7 linked regions of the Oryctolagus cuniculus genome follow. The protein of the gene in region 3 binds, or shares a complex with, the protein of the main gene of each other region. Links are inferred from orthologs where the notes say so. Each region holds a gene or a part of one and is shown on either strand. Other genes may lie near its edges.

Region 1 (4,590 bases), on a different chromosome or scaffold from region 3:
GGGTGCGTAGGCAGCTGCCGCCTCTCAAACTCCCTGCACGCAGGCCAGGGCCGCCCCCCCTCGCGCTCCAGTCTCAAGTTAGCCTTATCTCCCAGCTGAGCCTGCTCCCGTCCCTGCGTTCCTGCCGCCTCCCCCCTCCTCTGTCCCTCTGAGCCCCACTCCACTCCTGGGTCCCCTCCCCGCCTCCCCTGCCCTCACAGAACCCGAGTTCTCAGGAGCTCTGTCTGCCGTGCCCTGCCAGAGCCCACCTACGGCGGAGGTCAAGGCCGATCACGGGGCTGGCCTTGGCACGGCGGGTTAAGCCGTCTCCTGCAACACCCGGCTGCTCTGCTTCCACCCCAGCTCCCTGCTGTGGCCCGGGAAAGCAGCGCAAGATGGTTCAAGCGCTCGGGCCCCTGCACCCGTGCGGGGACCCGGATGGAGCCCCAGGCTCCTGGCCCAGCCCCGGCCTCGTGGTCATTTGGGGCGTGAACCAGCGGATGCCACGCTCTAACTTTGCTTTTCAAATAAACAAACCTTTCTTAACACCACGGGCTGAACAAGCTGCCGGCTGGGCAGGCCAGTGTGCCCCCGAGCAAGCAGCAGCCGCCCGCTGCCCGCGGCCACTGACCTTGTTCTTGCGCCCGTCGATCTCGAAGAAGGAGATGGTGCCCTTGCGGTAGATCTCGTTGCCAGGGGGGTGGCGTAGGTCGCACTTGGTCTGAGGAGGAGAGGAGGGTCAGGGGCGGGCGCTCCTGGACTCCGGGGGGGCGCGGGGGCGCTCCTGGACTCTGGGGGGCGGGGCGGGTGCTCCTGGACTCTGGGGGGCGCAGGGGCGGGCGCTCCTGGACTTTGGGGGGCGGGGCGGGTGCTCCTGGACTCTGGGGCGCAGGGCGGGCGCTCCTGGGCTCCGCCTACCAGGTGGCGCTGCAGGCACTTGAGGCTGCGGCCGTACTTGAGGCAGAACTCGCACAGGTAGAGGACCGGCAGCGCGGTGAGCTCCTGCGGGTACGGGGAGAAGTACCACGGCTTGAGGCGGTGCCGGCCCAGCTCGATGCACTCGATGTTCTTCATCCGAGTGACGATGTCGTCGTGGCTCCGGTCGGACACCAGGCTGCCAGTCATGCGCGGAGCCGACGGGATGCCATCGGAGCTGTCCTGGGAGTCCTGCCGGGGCCGGGGGAGACGGCACGTTACAGGAGCCACGCGCCGCCCGTCTGCGACCCCGGGGCAGCTGCTGTGACCCCACTTCTCAGAGACCAGGCCCAGCCCCCGCCCACCCGCCTCACGGCCCCTCCCCACCCAGCCCCCAGACCCACCTCGTCCGTGCCCAAGCAGTTTGACTTCCGCTTCCGCCCTGGCTGCGCTGCCACCGCCCTACGGGCTGACCCATTCTGTGAAGAGACGGCGGGAATGCGGGGGGCTGTGAGCTGAGCCGGAGACGCCGGCGGGGGCAGGGCAGGCAGGGCAGTGAGACGAGACGGCTCGGGCCTACCTGGGGGAACACGGAGGCCGGGGCCGTCTCGCTGGGCACGGGAGTCGCTGGCGACACCACCTCCACCTTCCGTTTCTGCAGAGGGAAACCGAGGCCGGTGGGTGAGAAGGTAGGGAAGGGGGACCTGAGAGGAAAGAAGGTCCCTGAAGTGCTGAGGGTACCGTGGAGCGGTGGCCGGGCTGCAGGCAGGAGCTGGAGGACAGCGGCGGGTCGGGCTCACCACCGGGAATGGCCTCCCGCTCCTTGGGCAGGTTGAAGCGGAGCGTGATCTGGACCGGGATTGGCAAGGTCTTCCCGCTGGCCTGGGCGGAGGCCGGCTGCAGAGATAGGTCCAGGGTCTTCCTCTGGGGTGGGGAGGCGCAGGGGACGAGGGGCCCCCTCGGCGTGGAGTGACTGAGCCCCGCCCGCTGCCTTCTCAAGGACTGGCCACTGGACCGGAAGCTACATCTGCAACCTGGCCCCATGCTTTGCAAGCTGGAGTCGGGGCGGGGGGTGCTGCCTCCTGCCCAGCCAGGAGCCCCCTAAGGCCGAGAGACGAGAAGAGTAGGAGGCAGGAGAGGTGGAGTGGGGCCCTACTCACCACCTCTCTCTCGGGAGATCCGGGGCGGGACCCAGGCAGTCCGTTCTTGGTCGGGGTCTTGGCCTCTTTCTTGGGGAACTGGATTTTCTTTAGGTCCAGCCGCTCGTGGGTCACCCATTCATCCAGGCGTTTGTTGACTGCAGCGGTGGGCATGGCTCAGGACGGAATGCCAGAGGCTGCCCCCGCCCCGCGCCCGCCCCGCAGCCCCACCTCAGCCAGGCCCAGGACTCACAGTCAATGTAATGGACGTAGAAGAGCTTCCGGCCACTAATGTCCTTCACGCTCAGGATCTCGGCCAGGGCTATGGGAACGGCACAGGCAGAGGCCTTAGACGGGCAGGGCCCCGAGACGCCACCCTCCTAGGACCCGAGCCCCACCCCTCGGCCGGATCCCCGCGCCCCAGCACTGCGCAGCTCGCGCCCAAGCCCCCTTCAGACACCAAGTGCAACCCACTCTCCAGGCCCCGCCCTGTCCAGGTCGGAACGGCTAGAAGCCACGCCCCTCCTTTGGAGCGCCAGCGCCCCGCCCGCACCAGCATTCTAGAAGCCCCGCCCCATTCGGCTGACTCCCTCCCGCCTCGTATTTCTTAGCCCCGCCCCCCGACGTCACTCACGCCACTCATCTTCGTTGTCCTGGTTCCGCCGCAGCACAGGTAGGCGGCAGCCCTCGATTATCTCCCCCTGGGGAGACAGCGCGGCGCCAGGGTCGGCTACTGTGGGGCCGCGGGCTCTACCCACCTCCCCTGGTTCCCTCCGCCCCGCCCCGGGCACCGGACTCACCACCTCCGCCATCTTCCCTCCCTCTACTGCCACTTCCGGCCCCTCTGGGAGACGTCACTTCCGGGATCGCGAACGCTGCAGACCCGGGCCCTCTGAGCCTGTTTAGTAAAGGACCCTTGAGGGACACCGCCGCCCGGCTGGAAGCGGGGAGCTAGCCCTTTTGGCCGGCGCGAAAATGGGGTGCTCGGAGCCTCGGGCCAGGTCTTGGGTGGAACCTCCACAACGTGCGCCGCGATTGGAGGAAAACTGAGTCCGTCACGTGACGCCCACCGGGTGCGACGCCGGTCACGTGGCTGCGGCGCGGGTCACGTGGGACTAGTGTTTGGGCTCGGACGGGCGGCCGCGTTCGGGAGTCTCCTAGTGGCGGCGGGAGGCGTCGCCCGGCGCCGGGTGCGCGTGCTGGGCGCGGGGCGGGCCTGAGGGCGGGCGGTGGGCGTGGCCAAGTTGGACAAGTGGGCGGGAGTAGCGGGACGGCTGCGGGGCCGAGTTCGAGGCGCGGGGGCGCGGGTGTCTAACCTCGTACCCCGAGTTCCTGGTTGAGAACCGGTGTGTGCGTTATTTTTGCGGCCTGTAGACGTGCGGTGAGTTCCCGCCGTGTGCCGGGCTCCACTGCCGGCCCTGGAGCGCGTGGGGGCGAGCGGACAGACCCCTCCCCTGGCGGAGCTCGCGTTCCTGGAAGTTGCGGGGAGGGGAGGGTTAATGGCCGCGGTTGCCTCTGTTTCAGGGCTAAGTGTTGGGGAACCCCGAAAACCCGAGCAGGGTGGTCAGGCGCGGGCGGTCGGGCTGGAGTAGCCGGGCAGCGCTGGCTGAAAGCTTAACTATTGGAAAGAAGGCTTGAAGGGACCCAGAGAAAGTTCCAGACGCACAGGCCGTCCCGCGGGGGCAGCCGCGCCGCGCTGCACGCGCTGGCCCGTGTCTGGTGGACAGGCAGACGGGTGTGGGCCTGGCGTGTCCCGCGGCCCGTGGGCCCCCACAGAACACCAGACGCCGGAGTGAGGGGCAGGGTTACTGTGGGGGGGGCCCTGGCGCGCAGAGCAGCGGCCTGTGGCGAACGGGTCCTCCGGGGCCGTGCGGAGGGAGGACGTGGCCGGCCAGGCCCCTCAGCGTGGGCTGGAGCTGACCCTGCGGCTGGGCCTTGGGAAGCCCGCGCTCGGCTGAGCCGGGCTGGGCTTAGGAAGACGGCGCCGTTTTACTACACCCCGCCTTGGTCTTTGTGAAGCTGCTAAGAAGGAAGAGAGAGAGGAAGAGGTCTGGAGACGAGGGAGGGCCACGTGTTCGCGAGCAGGTCCTGTTGGAACTCCGCCGGGCAGGCCGGGAAGCAGGGGCAGCGGCTCCCATGGGGACGCGCGGCGCTGACAGCGCGGCTGGGCCTTGGGGCCCCCTGGCTGCGGGGGCTGGGGCCGAGCATGGTGTCTGGACTGCGCCCTTGACCAGCACCCGTGCTGTTGATGTGTTAAAGCGGTTGGGGGGACAAAACAGTATTTCTTAACAGGAGAAGTTGTTTGAAGTTTAAATTTCATTGCCCATAAAGGATGTTTTTAAAGATTTATTTATTTGAAGGTTACAGAGGCAGAGAGAGAGTCTTCCATCCGCTGGTTCACTCCTTAATTGGCCACAATGGCCAGCGCTGGGCCAGTCTGAAGCAGGAGCCAGGAGCTTCTTCCAGGTCTCCCACGTGGGTGCAGGGGCCCAAGGACTTGGGCCACCTTCTACTGCTTTCCCAGGCCACAGCAGAGAGCTGGACTGGAAGTGGAACA
Region 2 (4,060 bases), on a different chromosome or scaffold from region 3:
TAGGCCAAATGCCTGGTCCCATGTTTTAAATTTTATAGGTGGCTGTTATCACTAGTAAGGTAAAGAGGAAGAACAGGGTATGGACCCAGTCTTGTTCAGCTATATGACCTTGAACACAGGTATTTGGGATACTCAGCTGCTATAATTGTTTTTAACTCTTTTGGCTTAGTTTTAGACTTTAAATGGAAATCATAATTTAAGTTATAACTTCAAATAATAGATTCTGGATCAGTGGTTCTTTTTTTGACAGGCAGAGTTAGACAGTGAGAGAGAGAGACAGAGAGAAAGGTCTTCCTTCCATTTGTTCACCCTCCAAATGGCCGCTACGGCCAGTGCGCTGCGCTGATCCGAAGCCAGGAGCCAGGTGCTTCCTCCTGGTCTCCCATGTGGGTGCAGGGCTCAAGTACTTGGGCCATCCTCCACTGCCTTCCCAGGGCCACAGCAGAGAGCTGGACTGGAAGAGGAGCAACCAGGACAGAATCTGGTGCCCCAACCGGGACTAGAACCCAGGGTGCCGGCGCTGCAGGCGGAGGATTAGCCAAGTGAGCCGCAGCGCCGGCTGGATCAGTGGTTCTTAACCACAGCTGTACAAAAGAATCACCCTGGGCCTTTAAAAATGCCAATGCCAGGGACTCAACCCGAACCTATTTAATCCTAACAGGGGAATGTGAGGGTGCACCTGTCTTAAGTTTTAAGTTTCCCAGGGAATTCTGATGCGTACTGAGAAATAAGAATCTTTCTTCTAGATCCATACAAATAGTTCCAGGTGAGAGGGAAAAGAGAGAATAAAGTACTATCAAGAAGAGAAAGAGTACAAAAAGAAAACTGAACATAAACTTCGCCTTCTTGGGCTGTGTTGAATGAGTCTGACCAGAAAGTAACTTTGATAAATATTCTTCTAACTCAGCTAGGATATAGTTTCACAAATAAAGTAGTAGCAGATTCAAAATGACAATCTTGACAGCAAACCACATTAAAAAACAAACAAAAAAAAAGGTGACCTGATAAGAGAACACAAATTTATGTTGAAATGACTAGTATCTCTCTCCTCAGTCAACATCCAGATACACACATACAATGTCTAAATGAATATGGCAGAGGCCGCCTTCTACTGTATTTCTGTACTGTGAGTCCTACTCTCTTACCTTTCTAATGGTCGCAACACATATTGTAGAAAGATTTAATGGGTCTATAGCTTCCAATTTCATTCCTTCTTTGAACCATTCCCCACTCAGGTCTACTTCTTTTACCTAAAGAATCATATGAAAGCACATCTACTATTATAAACATTGTCATTTTAATGATTACAATGCAAAAAATTTGAAAAGGTTTACCAGATGCCTTCTCCTACCTACCTAGTATTCTAATTCAAATTTTTCATTAGGAAATAAACTTCAGACACACAGACAGATTTTAAGAATAATTAGAATAAAAGTGTGACACCTATGGATTATAAGGTCTTAATCCTTTTAAGTGAACACAAGTGATTTCCAAAATTTTAGGAAAAAACCCACAACCCTCTTTCAAAACTAATTTACAAATGAGGGTTCTTATAAAAACTTCTTACCTTAGCAAATAAATGTGGTGGTGTATCAAAATGTCCATCCTGTTTCTTTGTAATATCTACAAGGAAAAGTTACATACTAATCTGTCAGCATTTGTGAGAAGACCAAAAAACCACGTTTCTTTGAAGGCTTCAAACTCACAAGGTATGTAATACTCTAAAAACATGGCAAAAAGACAAGCCTTCTACATTTATGGTGAATAAGATTCTTTAATAGTCTTTTATCTCTTCAGGCTACATGTGCATATGCTAGGAAATACATTTCAGCCAATCAGAATGCTGATAATCCCAACAGTTAGGGAATTACAACTTTAGAGGTATGTTTTAATGTGTTTAGTATCAAGTCTAACCACATCTAATCCTGTTATTTTGATTACAAACTTGAATGGAAAGGGAAAGGCCATCTTTAGATCTTTCTAAAAGGCCAGATAAGAAAGATTATGGAGACCATCACAGCCTTGGACCACAGCACATTACTTTTTTTGAATGAGAACAAGTGGAAGGAATGTAAAGGAAATAGGACATTAACATGGAGCGAACCTTTCAATAATTAAAGTTGAACAAACAGCTCAAACAGCTAGAATGCTGCTTTTAATCTATGCTATTCTGCAGAGAAAAATAGTCAAACAGCATAATTCAGCCTCAATGATCCTTAAATAGGAAATTCTTGTAATAGATGCTTACCAGATCTTTTGAATCGATGGCCTATGCTTCGAGACCAACCGATATGATGGATCAATGGGCTGTGCATGTGGCACCAGAAGTCATCTGTTCTGTCTTCACTCTCTTCATACACAAGCCTTAATCTTCCGCCAATTACACTTTCCACTACTGCCACTCGCGTTCGACACAAATGCCTCTTGTCAACCACTTCTACTCTCATGCAAGGTTTGAAAGGATATTGCATACTCTCTGAAACCTTGAAACAAAAGCAGACAACACCTGTTTGGAACTCATGACAAAGGCCCACAAGTAGTTTAATACTGTACTTTAAAAATGCTGAATGTACTCGATATTTAATGTAGATCATCCAGTTGATGAGGAAATCCTTAGACATGCTCTAAATTACCCTCTTTTTGAGAGCTCTTCAGTCCTTTATCAGATCCTATTTTTACCTTTTGTGAGAAGTCAGGAGGAAGGGTTTTGGCACCAGTCAGTCTTTTCACTAGAAAAGCTTTCCAGTTTGTATACTTATGTTGAATAGCTAAAACAAAAGAAATAACTAGTTTACACTTTAGCAAAAAGTAGAACTGATTCATAAATTATTTGTTATTTCTCTGCAAGTAAGATTATCAGTTAGGATCTTGAAAAGTAACAAAAAAAAAAAAAAAAAAAAAAGAGAAAACAAGAATATCATTTAGTGGTAAAGTCCCTGACAATCAAAAATATTTTAATACTTAGTATTACTGTGTGTGAAATAGTCTTTAAGTACATATATTTAAAATTATAGTAAGGTTAATTTTGCGTTTAAAAATTTTTATTTATTTATTTATTTGAAAGGCAGAGAGACAGAGGGAGAGGGAAGAAATGGAGGGAGACAGACTGATTTCCCAGCTGCTGGTTTACTTCTCAAAAGCCTGCAATGGCTAGGGCTGTGCTAGGCCTAAGCCAGGAGCTGGGAACTCAGTCTACATTTCTCACATGGGTAGCAGGCACTCAATCATCTGAGCCATCACAACCTGCCTCCCATGGTCCACAGCAGAAAACTGGAGTTGGGAACAGACCTGGGGCTCAAGTCCAGGAACTCTGATATGGGATGTAGGCATCCCAAGTGCTGGTTTAGCCACTGGGCCAAACACTTGCCCCTAGGGTCATTTTCCAAAGTTACTTACTTCTAGGGGGAACAAGAGGTTTTCCACTGGCCGCACACCAACCAACTGGATGTATATCAGAACCACATATATTGCACCAGAAGTCCAGACCCGAGTCATTTTCAAATCCTTCATATCTTAAAAGCGCATTATAACCTGAAACCAACAAATTATTACATAATTAAGAAAATAAAGTTGAAATAAAATTATGTAGCATCTGGTAGTGGAGTCCAACTTTCATTGGCATCTGCAATAGAATGACCAGCAGAGTTAAAAAAAAGACAGATGGCTGTGGCCTGTCCTAGATATTCTGGCTTAGTAGACTGTGGACGGGCCTAAGAATCTGCATTGCTAACATGTGCCCAGATGACGGATGCTGCTGCTGCTGGTGGTGGTGGTGGTCCAGAGACTACACTTTGAGAATCATTTATTAGATGTAATTTGTTTAACTGTACTGAGTGTGGCTTCCTCCTCTGAATGGATTTCAATTTTACTCATAATTTCTCAAATTCTAGAAAGAAATTCCTCAGTGAAAACAGGGTAGAATGGTTCTCTAATGTTTAGTTCTGATAATAACAGAGAAGACTGTGACAAGTTAGTAAAACCTTGTGAAGTCATAGAAATCCAGGTGTAGTATATGTCAAAGAAATGACTTTATCTAGCTAACTAGGTGGCCATTAACTCT
Region 3 (4,060 bases):
GATTAATCTTTCAGACACTCTCAAGGCAATCTTACACTCAGAAATTCCAGTTCTGGGTGGGAATCAGGCCCCTAATGACTGGAATCTTGAAACAATGTCAAAAATTTGGGAGCTTACCCTATGGCACAGCAGTTTCAGCTGCCACTTGCAATGTCAGCATCCCACACTGGAGTGCTGATTCAAGTTCTAGCTGCCCTACTTCCAATCCATTTTCCTGCTAATGCATATGGAGGAAAGCAGCAGCAGGTGGCCTAAGTATTTGGACTCTTGTCACCCATGTCGGACCTGAATGGAGTTCCTGGTTCCAGGCTTCTGCCTGGCTCAGACCTGGCTGTTGAGAACATGAGTGGACCAGTGGATGGAAGATCTCTCTCTCCCTTCCTGTCATTTTGCGTTTCAAATAAATAAATAAATATATTTTTAAAGAATGCACTTGGTGCATACTCTGTATCAGCACCAAGTGCCAGGGATACAATATTAAATCATTTCTGTCAATGTGAGTCTCCTATTTTAGTAAACAATATTAAGAGCATTAGAAACATGTGAGGGTAAACATTCTCTTAGAAAGTGGAGGTTCTCCCAGCTTTGGAAGTAGCAGCTCACCATTACCTCAGAAAGAAAGTGGAGGAGGTTCTGGCGGTTCACTTGCTCTGCCTCTCTCTGAGATTCCTCACTGCCTTCATCCCCTGCAAGCAGCTCACTAGGTTCTCTCCTTGGGCTGCTTTCTTCTAGTTCCTCAGCCCCTGGATCCTCAGTTTCCCTCCAGCTGCCCACATCAAGATCCAGACTGGAGTCCCATGAGCTGAAGAGGGACCTGTAGTAGTTGCTCAACTCAGAGTCACTGGGATAGTCTTGTACAGAATCCAACCAAACCCACTCATGCCCCATCTGTAAATACACAGAAAAAAAAGAGCATTAAAATCATTCCAATTCATATTCCCAGGGACCTCAATCTCCTAAGTTCAGTAGAAAGATAAATATCAGAAATGTCTCATCAAGAAGTATAAAACATAGCAGAAGAAAAATGCTGGGAGATGACATGATCTTTAGGAATAAAGAAGTCCCATTTTAATAAAATAAAGATGTTATACTGTACAGTGCAGTACAATGTATTACCCAATAACTATTATTTCCTTATACTCCAAAAGGGAAAGAGCTAGAGCATAGCTAGCTTAACAGACTTCCTCTATCCCCCAATCACCCATAAACTCAGTTGCAAGGCAATAAACTTAAAAGGAACACGGGATACTTTCCTTGTTTTTTTAAGCTGTTTACCATTACATACTGAAAATACACTTTGATATTACCTTTGGCATCCTTATCGTCAAATCCACTATCACTTCTCAAAACGAGATCCTCAAGTTTCAAAAATACCTTCCCTTGCTTTCTTAACTACCCTATTCTGATTCTCTTACAACTTTCTCCAATCCCTTTTGACTTTCAATAAACTTTGGTCTTCTATTTCCTTGCATAGTCCAGCTTCCTTAACACTTCCTCTAAAAAATAAAGCATTTTTTAAGTTTCAACTTTGACCTCTATGAAGATGATTTCCTGTTTCTTGTCATTGTGTATACACACAATGTACACATATATGCATACTGTTTCAACTTTGTACTCTATCAAATCTCTCAACCTTTTATACATTCTGATCTCATTTCTCCACGCATCTGAAAGCAAATTCTCTTTTGAAATCCTACTATCTGCTTCAACTCAGCATTTTTATAACTAAAATCAATATTCTTCCTAATTTGCTCTCAATTTCTTTATCCCTATCACCAACACTATTTTCTTAGTCTACGCAACTCAAAATTATTCTTAAAGTCAGCAATTTTTTCACAATTTTCTGTCATCATCCTTTGTTTCTGGGGAAATGTCAGGCTCCTTAAGAGTTAAACAATCTTTACTTCAACCTGCTCTCTGCCAAGTGTCAAGGCTTAAGAACAGCTTTCATCTCAAACATGTTCTTAGTCTACCACTAAAAGTCCTCCATAATTAGTCCTACTTTATCCTCTTGACTGGTGTTATATCTCACTATTCCTTAGTATGATCACTGTTCTCTTATCTCATTGCTCCTACCATGGATGTGCAACACTATTAACTCATCTTGCAAAGCACATCCATCCCTTTTCTAAAGCAATACCTATGTCCTTTAATGGACTTTCCCCACAAACCTGCAATTTTTATTGCTTCAGTGTTTTTATCACATGCCTGTTTGTGGATAGCTTTGGCAACCGAATATTATAGGTACTTCATTTTCTAACTGTTGGGTTGATTTCTTTCCATCACCACAATAGGACTATTATTTCCTACTTCCTGACAACTGCTGTAATTCCTTTTGAAGGCCAAAAAATATTATCATGATCTTCTTAAAACTTTCTCAACAATGCAGAGTCTAGATAACACCCCATTAATATCTCTATACAATAAAAAGGCTCATAATTAGTTCATTATCACTAATGAGCTAAAGTTTTTGTTGTTAACAAAAATTGGAATAGAACTCAGTGCCTAAATTTGTTAATTCTTAAACTGAGATTAGCCTTCCAACAGCAATATAAAGAATTCTATTCACAAGAGCCCTACCCACAGGGAGTGCAGTGGAGGATGGCCCAAGTGCTTGGGCCCTGCACCCCATGGGAGACCAGAAGCACCTGGCTCCTGCCATCGGATCAGCGCAGTGCGCCAGCCGCGGCGGCCATTGGAGGGTGAACCAATGGCAAAGGAAGACCTTTCTCTCTGTCTCTCTCTCTCACTGTTCACTCTGCCTGTCAAAAAAAAAAAATAAAAAAATAAAAAATAAAAAATAAATCAGGGGCTCTTAAGACACAGATAAGCCCCTAAAAAATAAAAATAAAAAAAAAGGTATGATCTACAGATAGTCTGAAGTAGGACAAATTTTCCTGAAAGAAAGGTTAATGCTACCCATGTAGCATGCTTGAATCTTCTTTTAAAAGTGCTATGAATTCAACTCTAAAAAACTTGTTTTCTCATTCAAAAGCTGAATAACTAAGTTATTGTTGAACAATATCTCAAAACAGTAATTATAAATTCAATCCTGTTTACTCACCGTCTCTCAATTAAGTAGGCAATTCACATTATAAAGTCACTTTATCCTCTAATAATATTTTCACAAATAATGTAGGAAGAAACAAAATTTTCAAATATACACACAAAAAGCACACACCAAAGGCTAGCATTTTTTCTTTTACATTTATTGTATACACATACACTTCACAGGTTTATTTTAAAAAAATCTGTACACTTCACAGACAGTACAAACTAGCTACAATCTGTTAGCTACACATTAGGACATTAACACAGCCCATGATTTTTGCCCTAAAACAGACAATTGTGCTACTTCAACTCTCTGAGAGAGATTTTCCCAGCTTATGTCATGTGGCCCAGGCACTCCTCTTCTGTAACTTCCACTTCTGGAACTGGGCCTGCAAGCCCAAGCTTTATCTTGTTTACTTCTATTTCAGAGTCAGCTCAAAGAGGATACTTTCAGGCTTTACTTTTTCATCTTCATATCTGCTTCAATGGCACAGCGGCGTCCCCTGGTTCCTCCATCCTACATGACAACAGAAAAAGAAATGGAGCATGAGTGAAAATGAGTGAGCTGGTTAGCCGCTAACAAAGTACAACAAGGTTGGGGATTTGATTTCTTGGGGGTAAAAGGGAAAGAATCAGCAGAAAAATCCAGAGTTATGAGGGGTGTATTTCTGTCTTCCCAGAGAGTGGCTAAAGAACACGTGGTAGTTTTTAAGAAGAAATGTAGGACAGTATCCTGCTCTTGCCCACCACACAGTCCTTGAAATTCACCTGGGGTCCCACAGAGTGATGAATAGTCATCCCACCCAGGTCCAAATCATGTGTAAAGGAAAGGAAGACTGAAAGAAAGGTGGGAAAGTAAAAGGGCGGTGGATAGTGAGGTTCTGGGCTAACATACCTGTCCAGCTGCTGGTCCCTATAAGAAAGGCCTTTCCTGCAGACTGACCCTGGCACTAGTTCCCTAGCACCTCCTGACAGTTGTTTTCCATGACATCAGGACAATCAGAAGGCT
Region 4 (4,060 bases), on a different chromosome or scaffold from region 3:
TGACAGAGAGAGAGAGTCAGAGAGAAAGGTCCTCCTTTTCCGTTGGTTCACCCCCTAAAAGGCCTCCATGGCCGGCGCGTTGTGCCGATCTGAAGCCAGGAGCCAGGTGCTTCCCCCTGGTCTCCCATGCAGGTGCAGGGCCCAAGGACCTGGGCCATCCTCCACTGCCCTCCCGGGCCACAGCAGAGAGCTGGCCTGGAAGAGCAACTGGGACAGAATCTGGCGCCCAACCGGGACCAGAACCCGGTGTGCCGGCGCTGCAGGAGGAGGATTAGCCTAGTGAGCTGCAGCATTGGCCCCATTTGCTGTTTCACTCCCAAAATGCCCCTAATAAGCCAGGGCCAAGCCAGGCCAAAGCCAGGAATCTGGAACTCCATCTGGGTGTTCCACATGAGTAGCAGGGACCTGAGTCCTTGGGCCAGCATCTGCTGCCTTCCCAGGCACATAAGCAGGAAGCTGGATCTGAGGTGGAGCTCCTGGGATGAGAACCAGCTCTGACGTGGGATGCAGGTGTCCCAAGCAGTGGCTTAACCTGCTGGCCCACAGTGCCCACCCCTCATACCTTTCAAACACTTTAGCCTTAAAGTACCTACTCACCTTGGAACTGGATCTACAGAGGATGAAGACGGAACCTTGGAAACTTGACAGTTTGCTGCGGCAGCCAGCTTTAAGGCAGATGACGGAACAGCACTTAAAGTCCTAGGTATGTGTCGTGCGTTTATTGGGGCAATAGAGTTTACAGTGGCAACTGATGAAGGTACAGTTAATCGAATGTTGTTCCCAATCAGAACCTGAGTTGTCGCAGAATTGGCAGCAGTTACTTGATGACTCAGTGCACTGTGGGAACTTGAAGTCTGTGTACTATTGGAAGGCTGTAACAAGGTCGAGCCTGCTGTCGATGGACTGGTATGCACAAGTGCTGTTGGTGTCGTACTACTGAGGTGTAAGCCCTTGTATACTCCTGGAGAGAAAAAGAAAGCATCTAAGCCACATTCACGTTCGCTGTATTACAGATGCACGCTACACACAGAACCAAGACCACTCGGACGTGCCCGTCCTACCTGAGGCTGGAAGGACGCCGTTCACCCCAATTCCGAGCACCACATCATCCTTCATCTTGAACCCCATCAGCTGTTCTGATGTCACCAAAGCAGAAGCAGCAAACTGAGCACTAGCAGAATCCAAAGTCTTGGAAACAAAACCCTGAACAGAGAACGTATGGGCGATCAATCAGCATCGCTTAGCCTCAGGCTGGCATTAACGACATGCAGGTGCAACACAGTCAGCTTGACTATAAATGAAAATGGCAAACCACTAAGATCTCTTCATCTCTTTTGATAGTGATACATTTCAGGAATGAAAAACTAATCTTTAACTCAAACGTTATTCAACAAATAATCTGTATACAACCATCACCAAATAAGCCTTTATAAGGGGAAATAGTAAAGCTCCATCACAAAATGCTGGACCAGAAATGTGCTAGTCAACTAGTTCAGAGCGTTGCAAATACATATAAAGGAGTGTGTCACTTCTTTCAACACACACACACACACCCAAAGGCACCTCTGGGAAGGTTAGATAAGCTAATGCACTGGATGGAGAAATTATGATTTGAACACAGTGTCTCCATCTCATTTCACTTCATGTTTTATTTTACTTTTACAAGTAGGGAGCAGAGGCGACAGCTTCCATACTCACCTGTGAAGTTCTTTCTAAACCCTGTATATTCAGGCGAAAGCCACTTTTCTGCTGGTTAGGTGCAAGGTTCTATGACAACAGTTGGTAACTAGAGGTGAACTCTGGTGGGCAACAATGAGGGCTAATCATAAGACAGACAAACCCCTCACCTGTGATGTGTTGGTGGAGGAATTACTATTTGCTTGCTGTTGCTGAATCTGTGCAAGCTGCTGTTTCTGCATTAGTGCCAGTTGCTGTTGATGTTGCTGGTATTGTTCGGCTGTAAATGCTGAACATAAAATGAGGAAACGTTTTATACAAATGCACAAATATCATACACCTCTTATGATACCAAAACAAAGGCAGCATTAACATTTTTTGTGTGTGCAAAATTAAAGCCTCTGACAAAGGTTCATCATCCTGCTAATGATCGCTGCCCAAATGAAAATGCCAGCACTTCTGCTACCACATTTAACACGAGTGGCTTGAATTTATAGAAAATTAGACTCTCTTAAACACAGGAAAGAGAACTGCTCACTTCCCAAGTATTGACACCATTAGTTTTGCAAAGCTGTGACACTTGTACTGGACAATGTAGAAGGTAATATCAGCTTTTTAATCCACAGATTTGGAATTCAACTTTGCACTGAGCTTGAAGAAATCTGTTAATTGCCAGCTGGTTTCCATTTTATCCATATTACCTTCTCAATTCATTCAGGTGGGCCCTAACAGTTTTGTGTATAAACACTAACTGTTCTACTTATTTTCTCATTTTAGTCATTTACAAAAATTTCCTCTATATGAAAGAGAAGGTTGTTGGTTTATTACTTTCTTTTTAAAGAATTCATCCTTTAAGTTTAGCAGGAAGAAAAGAGGTTCCAATGTTAAGTTTAATTAATTTTCCCCACCCAATTAACCCACCTGGAAAAAATCCAGTCAATAAGAACGGAGTTGTTTATGTTGATTTACTGTACAGAATGATGTCTGAGGAAAGACACTGTGTTATGCTACTTATGTTTGTCTATGGAGAGCTCAGTTCTAAAAAAAACAAACAAAAAAATGTTCATTTATTACCCCCCAAAAAAGTGTGTGCAGTTTTTAAAAAGGAAACCTTTTTCTTTTCTTTTTTGCCAATTAAAAAAAAAAAGGAAAAAAAAAAGCACATACAATCACAATACAAATGGATTAGGAAGGCTTCTTTAAGAAGCCTATGATGTTTGAGTAAGAATTATTTTAAACCAAAAAAGTTTATCATGCATCCCTGGATCCCAGGGAATCTATAATCATGCAAATTTCCTCAATCTAAAGTTTAAGTTTTCAAAATACTGTCAGCTAGTTTATTGCTATTGCTTACTGCTTAGTTATTAAGAGTATCACGTCATCAAGCTATGTGATTTGCATTTGTTAACTCACCAAAGAAATCTTTCACTGTCCCTCAGAACGCCTTTTCTTGATATAACTAGCAAATTTTTGTTACAAATTCCACCATGGTCTGAATGTATCAAAAAATCATTAATATTCAAGAAAAACTCTTAAGTTCTTAGTGCCTGCACAGATTCCTATACTTGAGCTAAACTAAGTTCTAGGGCTGCAAGGGCAAAAAAGCAACTTATTAGAAAGCCTTTACTGCTGGTTTTCTTGTTGTGTGTGTGTGTGTGTGTGTGTGTTACGAATGTATTTAGCTGGTGTCTGGCCTTTGATAAATTCCTTTTCCTACTTTGTTTGCAATTCACAGATGTGAGATTCACAGAGAAGAGTTTTATTCATATGATGATTCCTAAATATTGATATAAAAGTAGCTGTCTAGCCACATAACCATTTCCACATAGCAGAAATGTGTTATATCAAAGCTTGAAAATCCACAAGAATTAATGCTGTCCTGAATGTTCGTAACTAATATTTACCCCTATATTTTAAAAAAGCCAACTCTTTAAACCTGAAGATCCTTATTTCATTAGATACTTCTGCCAATCTATTTCTGATTTAGACTTTTTCATTTCCTAATTTTGAGTCTGTTGCCTCACACTTGATTTTCTAATAGGAATGGTCAGCAAGTTTTAAAAAATGGATCATTTTTGGAAGGTTGGGTCATCACGTATTTAGAAAGATAGTACATTTACATTCATTGACAAGCTTTTATAGAAAACTTTTTATAATGAAAGCACTTTTTGTTGTTGAACTCTGCTGGTGCTGTGCTTTAATTAAAAAGTCAGTGATAACTGGAAGCCAATATGAATAAAGTTCCAAATATTTTTGCCCTCTTGAAATCAACATCTTGATCTGGGTCTCTGAGGGTGTTGTGAATTTCACTTTTTGAAAACTGTTAACATTTTATATCACTATGTTAGCTTACTTCTTAGATAGCAAAGCCGGCCTATTTCTT
Region 5 (4,060 bases), on a different chromosome or scaffold from region 3:
TTCCTCATATGAGGGTACTTCACAGACTTCATGGAAAAATGGTATTAAAAGATGTGTTTATTTTGATGCCAAACAGTTTTGGAATTTAACACTCTTGGTTCCCTGTCCTATCCACAGTAAGTATTCACATGTTGCTTGATAGTCATAGTTTTCATTTACTACTTTTGTGTATTTGTATTCTTTATGTTTTGATGAATCATATTCAGTCTGCTTAAAAATACAGAGAATATCTGTAAGGTAGCCATAACTAATATTAATTCTTAAAAGTACTGCCTATAATATAAGTCAACAGTAAGTGGTAACTTTGATTTTAATTATTTTAAAATCTTTGATTTCTTTTTAAAAGGATTTTTTGGAGTACTTTTTTTTCCCAAAAAAAAAACCAAAAAATTCTGAGTAAAACTAAACCATTATAAAAGTTATTTTTTGGGGCCGGTGCCACAGCTCGCTTGGCTAATCCTCTGCCTGCGGCGCCAGCACCCCGAGTTCTAGACCCAGTTGGGGTGCCATATTCTGTCCCGGTTGCTCCTCTTCTAGTCCAGCTCTCTGCTTTGGCCTGGGAAGGCAGTGGAGGATGGCCCATGTGCTTGGGCCCTGCATCCACATGGGAGACCAGGAGGAAGCACCTGGCTCCTGGCTTCAGATTGGCGCAGAGGCCATTTGGTGGGTGAACCAATGGAAAAGGAAAGCCTTTCTCTCTGTCTCTCTCTCTCACTGTCTAACTCTGCCTGTCAAAAAAAAAAAAAAAAAAAAAAAAAGTGGCCGGTGCCCTGGCTCACTAGGCTAATTTTCCACCTGCAGCGCCAGCACCCCGAGTTCTATTCCTGGTTGGGGCGCCGGATTCTGTCCCGGTTGCTCCTCTTCCAGTCCAGCTCTCTGCAGTGGAGGATGACCCAAGTCCTTGGACCCTGCACCCGCATGGGAGACCAGGAGAGGCACCAGGCTCCTGGCTTCGGATCAGCGCTGTGTGCCGGCCGCAGCGCACCGACTGCAGCAGCCATTGTGGGGGGTGAACCAAAAGAAAAGGAAGACCTTTCTCTCTCTCTCTCTCTCTCACTGTGCACTCTGCCTGTCAAAAATAAATAAATAAATATAGTTTACAAAAGTGTTATTTTTTGTTGCTCTAAGTAAGTGTGCTTTTAAATCAGATGACTTTAGCTTAATGTTAGACATACATTCGTACATTGATGCCATTTCTTTTGATACCACTTATTTAGGAGTTATTCTCAGGTAATTGATGATGATGATGATGATGATGATGATGATAATGATGATGGGCAAATAAGACTGGTAATACTTTTTCAGGAACAACAACAAGTCTTCAAGCCAGCAGTCCTCCTCGTCTTCCTCCTCTTCTTCCTTGTCATCGTGTTCTTCGTCATCAACTGTTGTACAAGAAATCTCTCAACAAACAACGGTAGTGCCAGAGTCTGATTCAAACAGTCAGGTTGATTGGACTTATGACCCAAATGAACCTCGATACTGCATTTGTAATCAGGTAAGAGTCTGATCCGTGTCTATGGAAGCATAATCTAAATGAATTAGAAAGATGTGTCTCTTTTTTTATTTTTTAAGATTTATTTCCTTATTTGATGGAGTAACAGAGAGGGGGAGAGAGAGAGGTCAAACTTTCATCTGCTGGTTCACTCCCCAGATGGTTGTAATGGCCAGAGCTGGGCAAGACTGAGCCAGGATCCAGAAGCTTCATCTAAGTCTCTCAAATGGGTGACAGGGGCCCAAACACTTGGGCCATCTTCCATGCTTTTCTCAGGCCATTAGCAGGGAGCTGGGTCAGAAGTGAAGCTGCCAGGACACAAACTGGGGCCAGTATGGGGCGCTGGCATAGCAGATGGCTTTACCCACTGTGCCACAGCACCAGCCCTGGAAGTGTTTCATTTTTTAAGCACTCTTTTTACTCTAGTTAAAAGTTACCCTTGCTTTAATTGATATATTTTTATCCCCCTTATAAAAGTCAGAAGTTTGCTAAAAATAAGAGGATAGTCCTTAGATATAACCTGAAATTAAATATTTCGGTGTACCACTACCAGACACCAGTTATATGTATTAGCTGGTGACTGGAAAGTCCAAGGTCAAAGGTGCCAGCTCATTTGGTTCCTGGTGAGGACTCCCGTCCTAGTCTGCAGACAGTGGCCTTCCACTGTGGACTCATTGCAGAAAGAGGGAGTGAGCTCTAATGTCTTTTGATACGGCACCTTCCCTATCAGATTAGAACCCCACCTTATGACCTTCACCACCTCTTCACAGGTATTGTCTGCAAATACATATTGGGATTTAGGGCTTCAAATGAATTTTGGGGGGACACAAACATTGCTTCTATAACACATATGTACATATACACACATGTCGTATAGTGAGTTTAACAGTAGGAACCACAATGACTTTTTTAGTACCTGGCTTTTTTAACTAAATCAGGTAATCAAACAAAATTTTTCTTTAAGGTCATTTTTGAAATCTCATGATTATCGCTTATATCATGTACTGTAATTTATTGAAGCAATATCTAGCTATAGATCATTTTAGTGATTTTGATTTGTTTTTGAATTTGTAAATAACATTATGATAGACATTTTTATTTTTAAATGTAATTCATTTTATACAATTGAATTCAAGGATAATCCATTAGAAATAAAATTGAGTTATAAATATCTAATACAGACAAAATATATTCTAGTAATTTATTACTGGAAACTAATCAGCATGCCTATTTTCTAAACTCTTTGCAACACTATTTAGATATTCTGTTAAAAACTTATTTGTCTCATACATTTATGTCACATAATTTATGTTAGTATTTTTTATTTATTTATTTTTTAAAAATTTTTGACAGGCAGAGTGGACAGTGAGAGAGACAGAGAGAAAGGTCTTCCTTTTTGTCGTTGTTTCACTCTCCAATGGCCGCTGCAGCCGGCACACCGTGCTGATCTGAAGGCAGGAGCCAGGTGCTTATTCTGGTCTCCCATGGGGTGCAGGGCCCAAGCACTTGGGCCATCCTCCACTGCACTCCCGGGCCATAGCAGAGGGCTGGCCTGGAAGAGGGGCAACCGGGACAGAATCCGGCGCCCTGACCGGGACTAGAACCCGGTGTGCCGGCGCCGCAAGGCAGAGGGTTAGCCTATTGAGCCGCGGCGCCAGCCGAAGTATTAAGATTATACTTCTGTTGACATTTTTAATGAGTTGATTGCTAATGGTGTTGACTTATTTTTCTATTGTTTTTATTAGATAATTTATTAATATTTTGCTTTTGTTTTGTTTTTTTAATTTTAATATTTCAGTTTTATTTAATTATGGCTATCATTCTTTTTCTTTAGAAGTCACCCATTAATGAGATGTTTAGAAAGCCTTCCTCTCCTGTTACCTTGTCCTCTGATACATTTTTTTCATTTTCTTTTGTTTGTATAGTTTTGTCTAGTTCTTGATAGGCTCAGTTTATTCACATTTAAACTTTAAATCTAATGACAATTTATTATGTTTTATGATGTAGCTAAAAAAAAATGGTCTTTCATCCACTGATTCACTCTCCAAATGGCTGTAACGACTAGAGAGGCTAAAACTACTACACCACAGCACCAGCCACTAAAAAAAAAAAAAAAAAAATTAAGTTTTCTAGCTCTTCCACTATTACCTGACAAACCTTTTTGTTAGTATCTATAATTAAGGAAAGAGTATCTTGTAAATACCCTAGCAATAAAAGTACGTTACCTACAAAAGAACAAAATCAAAATGACTCCTGGTTTGTCTTTTGTACCAGTAGAAAGCTAAAAGGTGATAGAGTATGTCTAGGACTTTTAGGGAAAAATTGAGAGCACCCAAAACTTGGTATGCAGAGAAGTTGTTCCCATGCGTAGGACGGGTAAAGATATTCTCACTCGTGCTGCGAGTCAGAAAGTGTGCCATCTGCTGAACCCTGTCTGAAAATTATGCAGTCCATGGAGAACTAACATGAATTCAAGATTTAGGAAGTGGTGCTAAAAATGCTGGGGATGAACAGCAGAAAGGAAAATGAGAAGGACAGTTAGTAGAGAACAGGTCTACAAATTTC
Region 6 (4,060 bases), on a different chromosome or scaffold from region 3:
TCTCTCTGTTGCCTTTCAAATAAATAAATCTTTAAAAAAAAATAGTCCAGTGAAATACTATTCAGCCATTAAATAGAATGAAACTCATTTTCAGCAATAGTGATGAACCCAACATTATGTTAAGTGAAATGTTACATAAGCCAGGCACAAAACAAATATACACTACATGAGTCTCACTCATTTGTAGAATCTAAAAAGTTAATCTCAGGAATAGAAAGTAGAACTGTGGTTACCAAAGGCGAGGAAAGGAAGGGAGATAGGAAGAGCTGTGACAACGCATACAAAGTGACAGATGGCAGGAATAAATTCTAGTGTTCTACTGAACAGTAGGGTGACTTTAATGAACAATAATATATTGTATTTTTCAAAATAGCTAGAAGGGCAGGTGTGTGGCATAGTGATTAAGAAACTGCCGAGGGATGGGGCCGGAGCTGTGGCGCAGTAGGGTTAATCCCCCGCCTGCAGCGCTGGCATCCCACTTGGGCGATGGATCTAGTCCCGGCTGCTCCTCTCCCAATCCAGCTCTCTGCTATCACCTGGGAAAGCAGAAGATGGCCCAAGTCCTTGGGCCCCTGCACCCACAAGGGAGATCTAGAAGAAGCTCCTGGCTCCTGGCCTCGGATCAGCCCAGTTCCAGCCATCGTGGCCATTTGGGGAGTGAATCAGCAGATGGAAGACCTCTTTCTCTCTGTCTCTCCCTCTAACTCTGACTTTCAAATAAATAAATATTTAAAAGAAAAAGATTTCAATAAAAAAATCAAACAAGTTGCATAAAAAAACTGTTCCAAAAGGGGATGATAACTAGTGCTGACACAGAGGCCTGTAGCCCGCTATTACTAACATACAGGCCACCTTCTACACTCAGTACAACTCAGCAACAACCAAGGAATACTGACATGATGCGTTCCAAGGGTGTGGCTCAACCCGGGGAGATGACGCAGCTCTGCATTCTAGAAGTGGCACTAACTGAGCATAAGAGTCACCGTAAAGGAAAATCAAAAGGACTCAGTACAACTGACTAGGCTGGCAAAAAGGTATCAAAAATGACTCTAACGTTGTAATGGAGGAAGAATGGAACCAAAAACTGGGCACATGAATTTTAAAGGAAATACAATGTTTATTTTAGACAAAATGTTTGCATTGGAACATCTGAGTAGAAATGTCTAGAAGAAAACAAAGAGGTTAGGGGCAGAGCAACAATTTTAGAAATCTGTATACAGAGACCATAACTGAAGTCACTGTGTAGTTCTAACTCCCAAACTACTAAGATTCCTTTTCCTCAAACTAGTGCCCCATTGCAAAAAAACTGGATCCCACAAAATACACCATCTGGAGGAAGCACACAGGCACAATACTAAAAAGGAGGCTGTGTCTCAAAAACAGGCAACCCGGGATAACACCAGCAGAGCTTTACAGAGTCTGACTCGGAAAGACCAATGTACAGATCTCTGTCCCATCACTGGCAAGCAAACAGAATCAGGCTGCACAGCCACACACGGAAACATCATCACTGCTCACCACGTGCACAGCGCCTACTCTCCATCTTACACTCAACAGCACGCAGATACACTCTGTTTACAGGATCAGAACTCCCCCCTCCGCTGGGTACATCCGGATTTATTAGGTGTGTGTGAAATGCTCCATAAAAGTTTTCCTCTTATTGCTAGGAAAAAAGTTCCCTCAGAAATATAAAAGACTTGCCAGGAGCAGAGACATAACTTTGAGCTGCTAAACCGACCTGAACGTGACCGAAGAGGCAGGAAGACACAGTGGTTTCTTCCTCAAAAGCAAAAATGATTCAGGATACCCAAAAGCTTCCCAGCTTCTAGAAGGAGGGAGAGCACAGGAGATGCAGTCCTTAGATCACAGTGGGAGGTGAACCAAAATCAGGGGCCATGGAAGCTTAAAAACACACTGATGAACACAGTCAAAAAATAAACTTACTCTTTTCAATGAGCTGGTCCTGAACTCCTGCCAACGCACTCACTGCCTGAAAGAGAAGCCACCAGTTACTAGAAAAGTGACCACAGGCCTCAGGAGGGCACTCAGGAGGGACAGGGAAGGAAGGGAGAGAGAAGGCGGCCGCCCCACAACAGCCGGCCTCCACTTACAGCTGCCGACGTCACCGAGGATTTACTGAAGAGCCGCTCGGCTTCCTTAAACTTCCGGTTCCTTCGATCATTTTTGCTATTGGAGTTTCTACAACACACAGAAGGATTTCATTATAAGCACCAAGCTGTCTATGATTATGGCTCAGGCTAGGGATGCCCCAGGGCAAATGCACAGAGAGCTTTGCTTCTATTTAATCAAGTTCCACCCAGAAAAGCTCCAGGTCACCTGGACTACTGGCGGATGGCCCACGCTCACACGACACAGCCAGCCACGTTTCCCAGGGCTGGGCTGGGCTGCGCCCACCCAGGAAGACACTAGTGTTACAGTTGCCTCACAAACACTTGCATATGGATTGATTTTAATGCTTACTACTAAAAATAACCAACAGAGACTAGTAATAGGAAGTATCTCAGTTACATAAGTTTAAGTTTGAAATTTAAAGAAAGAACTAGGGGGCCGGCGCCGTGGCTCACTTGGTTAATCCTCCACCTGTGGTGCTAGCATCCCATATGGGCGCCGCGTTCTAGTCCCGGTTGCTCCTCTTCTGGTCCAGCTCTCTGCTGTGGCCCGGGAGGGCAGAGGGAGGATGGCCCAAGTGCTTGGGTCCTGCACCCGCATGGGAGACCAGGAGAAGCACCTGGCTCCTGGCTTCGGATCGGCGCAGCGCCAGCTGTAGCGGCCATTTCAGGAGTGAATCAACGGAAGAAAGACCTTTCTCTCTGTCTCTCCCTCTCACTGTCTATAACTCTACCTGTCAAATAAAAAAAAAAAAAAAAAAAAAAAAAAAGAAAGAAAGAAAGAAAGAACGAACGAACAAACGAATGAACGAACTAGAGGCCAGGGGTTAACGCCCTGGCCTGAAGTGCTGGCATGCCGTATGCGCGCCGGTTCGAGACCCGGCTGCTCCACTTCCTGTCCAGCTCTCTACGATGGCCCGGGAAAGCAGCAAAAGATGGCCCAAGTTCTTGGGCCCCTGCACCCACATGGGAGACCCAGAAGAAGCTCCTGGTTCCTGGCTTCAGATCAGCACAGCTCCGGCCATTGCGGCCATTTGGGGAGTCAGCCATCGGATGGAGGACCTCTCTCTCTCTGTTTCTCTCTGCCTCTACTCTCTCTGTGTGGAAGGAAGGAAGGAAGGAAGGAAGGAAGGAAGGAAGGAAGGAGAGAGAGAAAGAAAGAGAGAAAGAAAGAGAGAAAAAGGAAAGGGAAGGGAAGGGGAGGGGAGGGGAGGGGAGGGGAGGGGAGGGGAGGGGAGGGGAGGGGAGGGGAGGGGAGGGGAGGGGAGGACAGAACTAGGGGCCAGCATTGTGGCACAGCAGGTTAAGCTGCAGCTTCCAAAGCCAGCAAGTCCTTGCTGCTCCACTTCTGATCCAGTTCCCTGATACTGTACCTGGGAAAGCAGTGGAAGATAGCCCAAATGAATGGACCCCTACCATCCACTTGGGAAACCTGGATGGAGTTCCTGGCTCCTGGCTCCTGGCTCCTGGCTTCACAGCCCTGGCTGTTGCAGCCGTTTGGAGAATGAAACAATAGACAAAAGAGCTCCCTCTCTCTCTTCCTCTCTGTAACTCAACCTTCCAGATAAGTAAATCTAAACATAAATAAATACACAGATAAAGGATCCAGAGCTCCTTAGAGAAATGGTGGATACCAGCTTTAAGTCAAGAAAAGGATAAGTCGAGCCTGGAATAATTTGGGGGCCAGAAAGCAGCAAACTGCTCCAAGACTAATGAGGGTCATACAAAAAGGGCCAAGGAGCCAACTTAGGGGACTCCTCTGACCACATTGAGGGGCAAACAATGAAAGGTAACGGTGGGTATGTTTAGTTTGTGAAAACTCATTGTACTGAATAACCAGGATATGTGCACATCACTGTATTTATTTCAATAAAAAAACTTATACTAGGGGCCGGCGCTGTGGTGTAGTAGGTTAATCCTCCACCTGCGGT
Region 7 (4,715 bases), on a different chromosome or scaffold from region 3:
AAAGCTGTGTGGTTTAGTTCTGGGTTTGGTGGCGGTTGTGTTTTTACTGTGTAATTGAGCAAATGAGAGCTTTGGTACATTGTTGGGAGATAGCAGATATGGTTGGAGAGGAGGGGCACTGTTTAGGGCAAGAGGTCCTCAGAACATGCTCTTTCGAGGCCCAGAGGTTGAGATAAGCCGATTTGCAAACAGGGACAGAGAGGAGAGCAAGGGCAGTTCCTAAAAGGTACAAAGCTGAGATTCACCCAGCTACTCCCAGGCTCGAGTTGTGGGTGGGACATCAGTGAGCCCAGGCGGGTGCAGCCAGCTTTCAATAAAGCTGGTCTGTGAGACTTGGCTGAGAGGACAGAGGAAGATTGATGTTTGCCCCAGAGTGGGGCTGTCAGCTGTGCTCACCGCCTCGCCATGCTCCCAGCTGTAAACAAAAGTCCTGGCCCTTCATGGCACTGCAGAGCAGCCCAGGCTGGCGTAAGTCTCTGAGGACAGCTTGACCATTTTCTCATCCTGGCTGACAACCAGAAGACAGAAGAAACAATAGAAGGTTGGGGGGGCGGGGTGGGGACCAGGATTGCAAGGGGGTGAGAAGCAGTGACCAGTGGGAAGGAATAGTCAATTTCAGATCTCAGGTCTTCGCATGCAAGTTGTAGGAATCTTTTACACAAAGTACATCCCTTTCCTATTAGCTTCACGGATAATAGTGAATATCTAAAGGAGGTCTGCAGAGACTCTAGTGCCTCATTCATTCATTCATTCATTCAATGACTGTGTCACACAGTCCCTCATTGTGCTAGATACCCTGGATGATGCTAAAGTAATAGAAAAGAGTTTGCAAATCCAAGTAGCTTACATGTGAATCTGTGTGAAGTTAAGTAACTACCCTGAATAGTAGATCTTTAATGCTTAGCAATACGTATGGAATAGAAATTTATAAGCAGGAACAGTAAGTCGTATTGGGGTGTCATCAGTGGACCTGGCACTGGGGAGGGCTGTAGAAACATAGGCACTGTTTGGCTAGGAAGAAAAGGTACCAGGCATTCCAGACCAGGACGAGGTCCTTAGTGAAAATGAGACCTGCTTTGGTTAAAGGAGAAGGTTAGTGTCCGGGCCTCTCTTCACTCCTCACTCCCTCACTTCCCTCACCATGGCGAACCCAGCCTGCAAGTCTCACTTGGAATGTTACTTCCTTACGGAGCCCTTCCCTGATGCCCAGCCTCTAGTTAAGTGCTTTTGCTTTCTGTTCCCTCAGCACCTGTGACACGCCTCCTTGCAAGACACCACTGTTTTCACCTGCTGACCTACTGTGGTTTCCCTACAATCTGTTCTCCACACTGCGGTCAGATTTTTTTTTTCAGATGAGAATCTTTTATACCACTTCCCTCTTCAAAGCTCTGTTACACTTCGCACTTTCCTTCTCCTTTGTCTCCTTGGTCCTTCCTGCTGCTTTGCTTCTTCCTTTTCTTTCAGGTCACATCTGAAATGTGTCTGCCTCAGGGAAGCCTTTCTAGACATTCCCTCCCCAACTTGGGCCACGAGTAGGTCAGTGTCCCTCTTACGTATTTCCACAACACCCCCCCACCCCGTTTTCTCCATCTCACTATCATCCAGGAACTTAGTCCAAGTCTGTCTTCCCTGCTAGAATACAAGATCTATGAGGCTAAGTGCTAAGTTTCTTCTTAACTGTGTATACTGTGTGTTTAGCACAGTTCCTATTGTGGTAGCTACTCCACCATAATTTGTGAATGAATCCAAGGGAGATGACGCACCTGCAGGTGAAAGCTGGTCTCAAGGACTGGTCCTCCACCTATATGCGAAGGGAAAACATTAAAAGTTTTCAATTTTGAGAGGAAGAACTCATGAGAGAACACTGACTTCTGAAAACACAAAGCAAAATGAATAATCAAGCAAAACCCAGATAGTTCTAACCTTAGCTTTCCCCAAACCCTAGCCTTCTCATTATCTTGTGGACTCATGTACTCTCCCTTCCTGATTCTTCCCCTCCCCAACCCCTCCTCTAAAAACAGAAGAAATTTGCTTATTGGTTCTTCAAACCAGAATTTTGACATTATGGCCAAATGTGCTTATGTCCACATGTAAAATTGTTCATTTGGTTGGAAGATGTCATAGAGGCAGTGTGCACCCACCCGTACCCCACAGAAAGACAAAGGGAGGAAATGGAGACAATTTTGTAGCTGCAGTCCTCACTGGATATTTCTTGCTTGAGGAATACCATCCGGATGGAATCAGTGACATCTTAAAGCTATAGCAATTTGTTTTTACCTTTCCTCTCTCTCTTTAATCATTTACCCTAAACATGAATCCACCACTAAGATATTAGAGAGGTTACATAAGTAGCAGAAAGAAGATAATGGATTCATTTCCATAATCTGTTGTTCTTGTCTCTTGAGGGCCCTGGATGAAGAGGGTTATATACCTGGAATTTGAAATCTTAATGAAATAGGATAGGAAAGGTTGAACTCCAAAATCAGTGTAGTACATTTCATTAGAATAGTGGATTATAATTATAAGATATAATTAATTATAAATATAGAAAAAATGATAATTAATGAGAAACCGCATTTTCTTCTTTCTGAAAGAACCAACCTGCAGCTTAGGTCAATGAAATGATGATACCAGCTAGGGCTAAAGGAAGTATAAGTCTAAGGAATTCACAAAGAAACTCTAGTGGAGGAAACCCTAAATTTATAGGATGTGGAGCTTGGCATGACCATTTTATTTTTGTAATATGATCCTGCTGCCAAGATTTGGCTATCCCCTTCCTATGGGGACTATGATAATTGAACCTGGGTATCAGTCAAAAGACAGACAAGGAAGAGGTTCAGGACTGAATAGTCATTATAGGAACAGTTTCCTCTGATGAAGATTACCTTTAGCCTTGAGTCTCAGTTCAGGAAGTCGAAGAAGTGAGCCTCTGGAGCTAATAAGTGATAATACTCTAGTCTCTCTAGTCTTGCCCTTTCTATTCTATTTTTCCTTTCACAGCTACAAATGAGTTAATGGAAAAAGGAGGTTACAAGTAGGGTCTGGGCTTTGCCCATTCGGACCCTCAATACCCCATGTTGTCTGATGAAGCGACAAGACTGAAATGATCTGGGAAGGCCCTCCCAGCTCTGTTATGCCAGGTTCTGGAATTCTGGGACATTGTGACCTGCTGACCCACTTACCTTATGGGAAATCCCATGATTCATTAGGTTTCTAAAAGGACCACCTTTTTTTTTTTTTTTTTTTTGACAAGCAGAGTGGAGAGAGAGAGAGACAGAGAGAAAGGTCTTCCTTTGCTGTTGGTTGACCCTCCAGTGGCTGCCACGGCCAGCGTGCTGCGGCTGGCGCAGCACACTGATCCGAAGGCAGGAGCCAGGTGCTTCTCCTGGTCTCCCATGGGGTGCAGGGCCCAAGCACTTGGGCCATCCTCCACTGCGCTCCCGGGCAATAGCAGAGAGCTGACCTGGAAGAGGGGCAACCGGGACAGAATCCAGCGCCCCGACCGGGACTAGAACCTGGTGTGCCGGTGCCGCTAGGCGGAGAATTAGCCTGTTGAGCCACGGCACCAGCCAAAGGGCCACCTCTTTATTTCTATATAGAAGAATTAGTGTTGAAAGTTAAATGCAGTCAAGATACCAAATGTGTTGCTGTGACCAGTGGTCCCAAGCATTCTTGTCCTTTGATGGTCAGGACTGTCTTTAGCATTAAACTGAGAACTGATAAGCCTAGAGGCCTCAGCCAGGCATTGATAGTAAGTGTAAGGAGAGGTAGGGTGACAAGTATTTCGTGTTTCTGTAGGTTGATAATTTGAAGAGGGTCTTAGACCTAGACATGATATCCAATTATTATATTCCTTTGTCATGGCTGTCCTTCAGTTTAGTCTGTTCTCAAACAGCAAGGTCCTCTTAGAATACTAGCCGAATAATACACTTGTAACATCCCTTGACTGGTTAAATGGCTTACCTGTGACAGTTACAGATGGTATAGAGTTTTGTTGTTGTTGTTGTTGTTGTTAAAGATTTATTTATTTATTTGAAAGGCAGAAGGGCTTACAGACAGAGAGGGAGAGGCAGAGAGAGATCTTGCATCTGCTGGTTCACTCCCTAGATGGCTGCCACTGTCAGTGCTGAGCCAGGCTGAAGCCAGGAGCCAGGAGCTTCCTTCAGGCCTCCCACATGGGTACAGGGGCCCAAAGTCTTGGGACATCCTCTGTTGCCCTCCTGTGTGCATTAGCAGGGAGCTGGATTGGAAGTGGAGCAGCCAGGACTTGAACCAGTACTCATATGAGATGCCAGCACTGTAGATGGTGGCTTTACCTGCTGCACCATAATGCCAGCCCTGATGGTAGTTTCATTTCTCAAATTTTTTTAAAGCAGCAATAAGCTCTTCCCTTGCTCCCCCTCCCTACCCCAAATAAAATATTATGGTGATGTGAATATATAAGGTGAAAGTGGAGTTACTCTTACTGAAATGAGTGTGTGTGTGTGTGTGTGTGTGTGTTGCTACCTGTTTTTTTCTTCCCTTAAAAGCCTAGGACTCCTTGAAGATGATTTTTGAGATTCTTTGCCTAATAGATAAGTCATTGTACTGAGAAATAGGAAACCTGGGTTTTGCTTTTGTTGTGAGACTTGGATGAGTCCATTAACCTCTCCCAGCCTCATTTCCTCACCCCTTGCATGGATACACGGTTTTCTTACCTGAAAGCTTTGCTCTGA

The links.
Region 1: BRD8 (region 3) and KAT5 share a complex: the UniProt entries of both Homo sapiens proteins name them as parts of the SWR1-like complex. The link is inferred for Oryctolagus cuniculus from reciprocal best matches to the Homo sapiens genes BRD8 and KAT5.
Region 2: BRD8 (region 3) and MBTD1 share a complex: the UniProt entries of both Homo sapiens proteins name them as parts of the nuA4 histone acetyltransferase complex. The link is inferred for Oryctolagus cuniculus from reciprocal best matches to the Homo sapiens genes BRD8 and MBTD1.
Region 4: BRD8 (region 3) and EPC1 share a complex: the UniProt entries of both Homo sapiens proteins name them as parts of the nuA4-related complex. The link is inferred for Oryctolagus cuniculus from reciprocal best matches to the Homo sapiens genes BRD8 and EPC1.
Region 5: BRD8 (region 3) and ING3 share a complex: the UniProt entries of both Homo sapiens proteins name them as parts of the SWR1-like complex. The link is inferred for Oryctolagus cuniculus from reciprocal best matches to the Homo sapiens genes BRD8 and ING3.
Region 6: BRD8 (region 3) and MEAF6 share a complex: the UniProt entries of both Homo sapiens proteins name them as parts of the nuA4 histone acetyltransferase complex. The link is inferred for Oryctolagus cuniculus from reciprocal best matches to the Homo sapiens genes BRD8 and MEAF6.
Region 7: BRD8 (region 3) and MORF4L2 share a complex: the UniProt entries of both Homo sapiens proteins name them as parts of the nuA4 histone acetyltransferase complex. The link is inferred for Oryctolagus cuniculus from reciprocal best matches to the Homo sapiens genes BRD8 and MORF4L2.

The regions. Positions count from the first base shown.
Region 1 is NC_091432.1:6,003,617-6,008,206, forward strand, and holds the start of KAT5 (histone acetyltransferase KAT5), read right to left. Parts: upstream 3,088-4,590; 5' UTR 2,846-3,087; coding exon 2,834-2,845; coding exon of another isoform or gene 2,735-2,833; coding exon 2,668-2,734; intron 2,356-2,667; coding exon 2,287-2,355; intron 2,192-2,286; coding exon 2,055-2,191; intron 1,792-2,054; coding exon 1,636-1,791; intron 1,550-1,635; coding exon 1,475-1,549; intron 1,374-1,474; coding exon 1,299-1,373; intron 1,147-1,298; coding exon 898-1,146; intron 701-897; coding exon 611-700; intron 1-610. UniProt on the Homo sapiens protein: Catalytic subunit of the NuA4 histone acetyltransferase complex, a multiprotein complex involved in transcriptional activation of select genes principally by acetylation of nucleosomal histones H2A and H4.
Region 2 is NC_091448.1:27,007,692-27,011,751, forward strand, and holds part of MBTD1 (MBT domain-containing protein 1), read right to left. Parts: intron 3,532-4,060; coding exon 3,397-3,531; intron 2,769-3,396; coding exon 2,680-2,768; intron 2,484-2,679; coding exon 2,249-2,483; intron 1,624-2,248; coding exon 1,568-1,623; intron 1,251-1,567; coding exon 1,146-1,250; intron 1-1,145. UniProt on the Homo sapiens protein: Chromatin reader component of the NuA4 histone acetyltransferase complex, a multiprotein complex involved in transcriptional activation of select genes principally by acetylation of nucleosomal histones H4 and H2A.
Region 3 is NC_091437.1:25,968,875-25,972,934, forward strand, and holds part of BRD8 (bromodomain-containing protein 8), read right to left. Parts: intron 3,569-4,060; coding exon of another isoform or gene 3,509-3,568; exon of another isoform or gene 3,189-3,508; intron 889-3,188; coding exon 610-888; intron 1-609. UniProt on the Homo sapiens protein: May act as a coactivator during transcriptional activation by hormone-activated nuclear receptors (NR). Isoform 2 stimulates transcriptional activation by AR/DHTR, ESR1/NR3A1, RXRA/NR2B1 and THRB/ERBA2.
Region 4 is NC_091444.1:102,669,932-102,673,991, forward strand, and holds part of EPC1 (enhancer of polycomb homolog 1), read right to left. Parts: intron 1,967-4,060; coding exon 1,848-1,966; intron 1,204-1,847; coding exon 1,062-1,203; intron 962-1,061; coding exon 598-961; intron 1-597. UniProt on the Homo sapiens protein: Component of the NuA4 histone acetyltransferase (HAT) complex, a multiprotein complex involved in transcriptional activation of select genes principally by acetylation of nucleosomal histones H4 and H2A.
Region 5 is NC_091434.1:156,958,184-156,962,243, forward strand, and holds part of ING3 (inhibitor of growth protein 3), read left to right. Parts: intron 1-801; exon of another isoform or gene 802-1,305; coding exon 1,306-1,498; intron 1,499-4,060. UniProt on the Homo sapiens protein: Component of the NuA4 histone acetyltransferase (HAT) complex which is involved in transcriptional activation of select genes principally by acetylation of nucleosomal histones H4 and H2A.
Region 6 is NC_091438.1:135,249,121-135,253,180, reverse strand, and holds part of MEAF6 (chromatin modification-related protein MEAF6), read right to left. Parts: intron 2,200-4,060; coding exon 2,112-2,199; intron 1,991-2,111; coding exon 1,945-1,990; intron 1-1,944.
Region 7 is NC_091453.1:89,765,946-89,770,660, reverse strand, and holds the start of MORF4L2 (mortality factor 4-like protein 2), read right to left. Parts: upstream 2,999-4,715; 5' UTR 2,886-2,998; intron 1,802-2,885; 5' UTR 1,764-1,801; intron 1-1,763. UniProt on the Homo sapiens protein: Component of the NuA4 histone acetyltransferase complex which is involved in transcriptional activation of select genes principally by acetylation of nucleosomal histone H4 and H2A.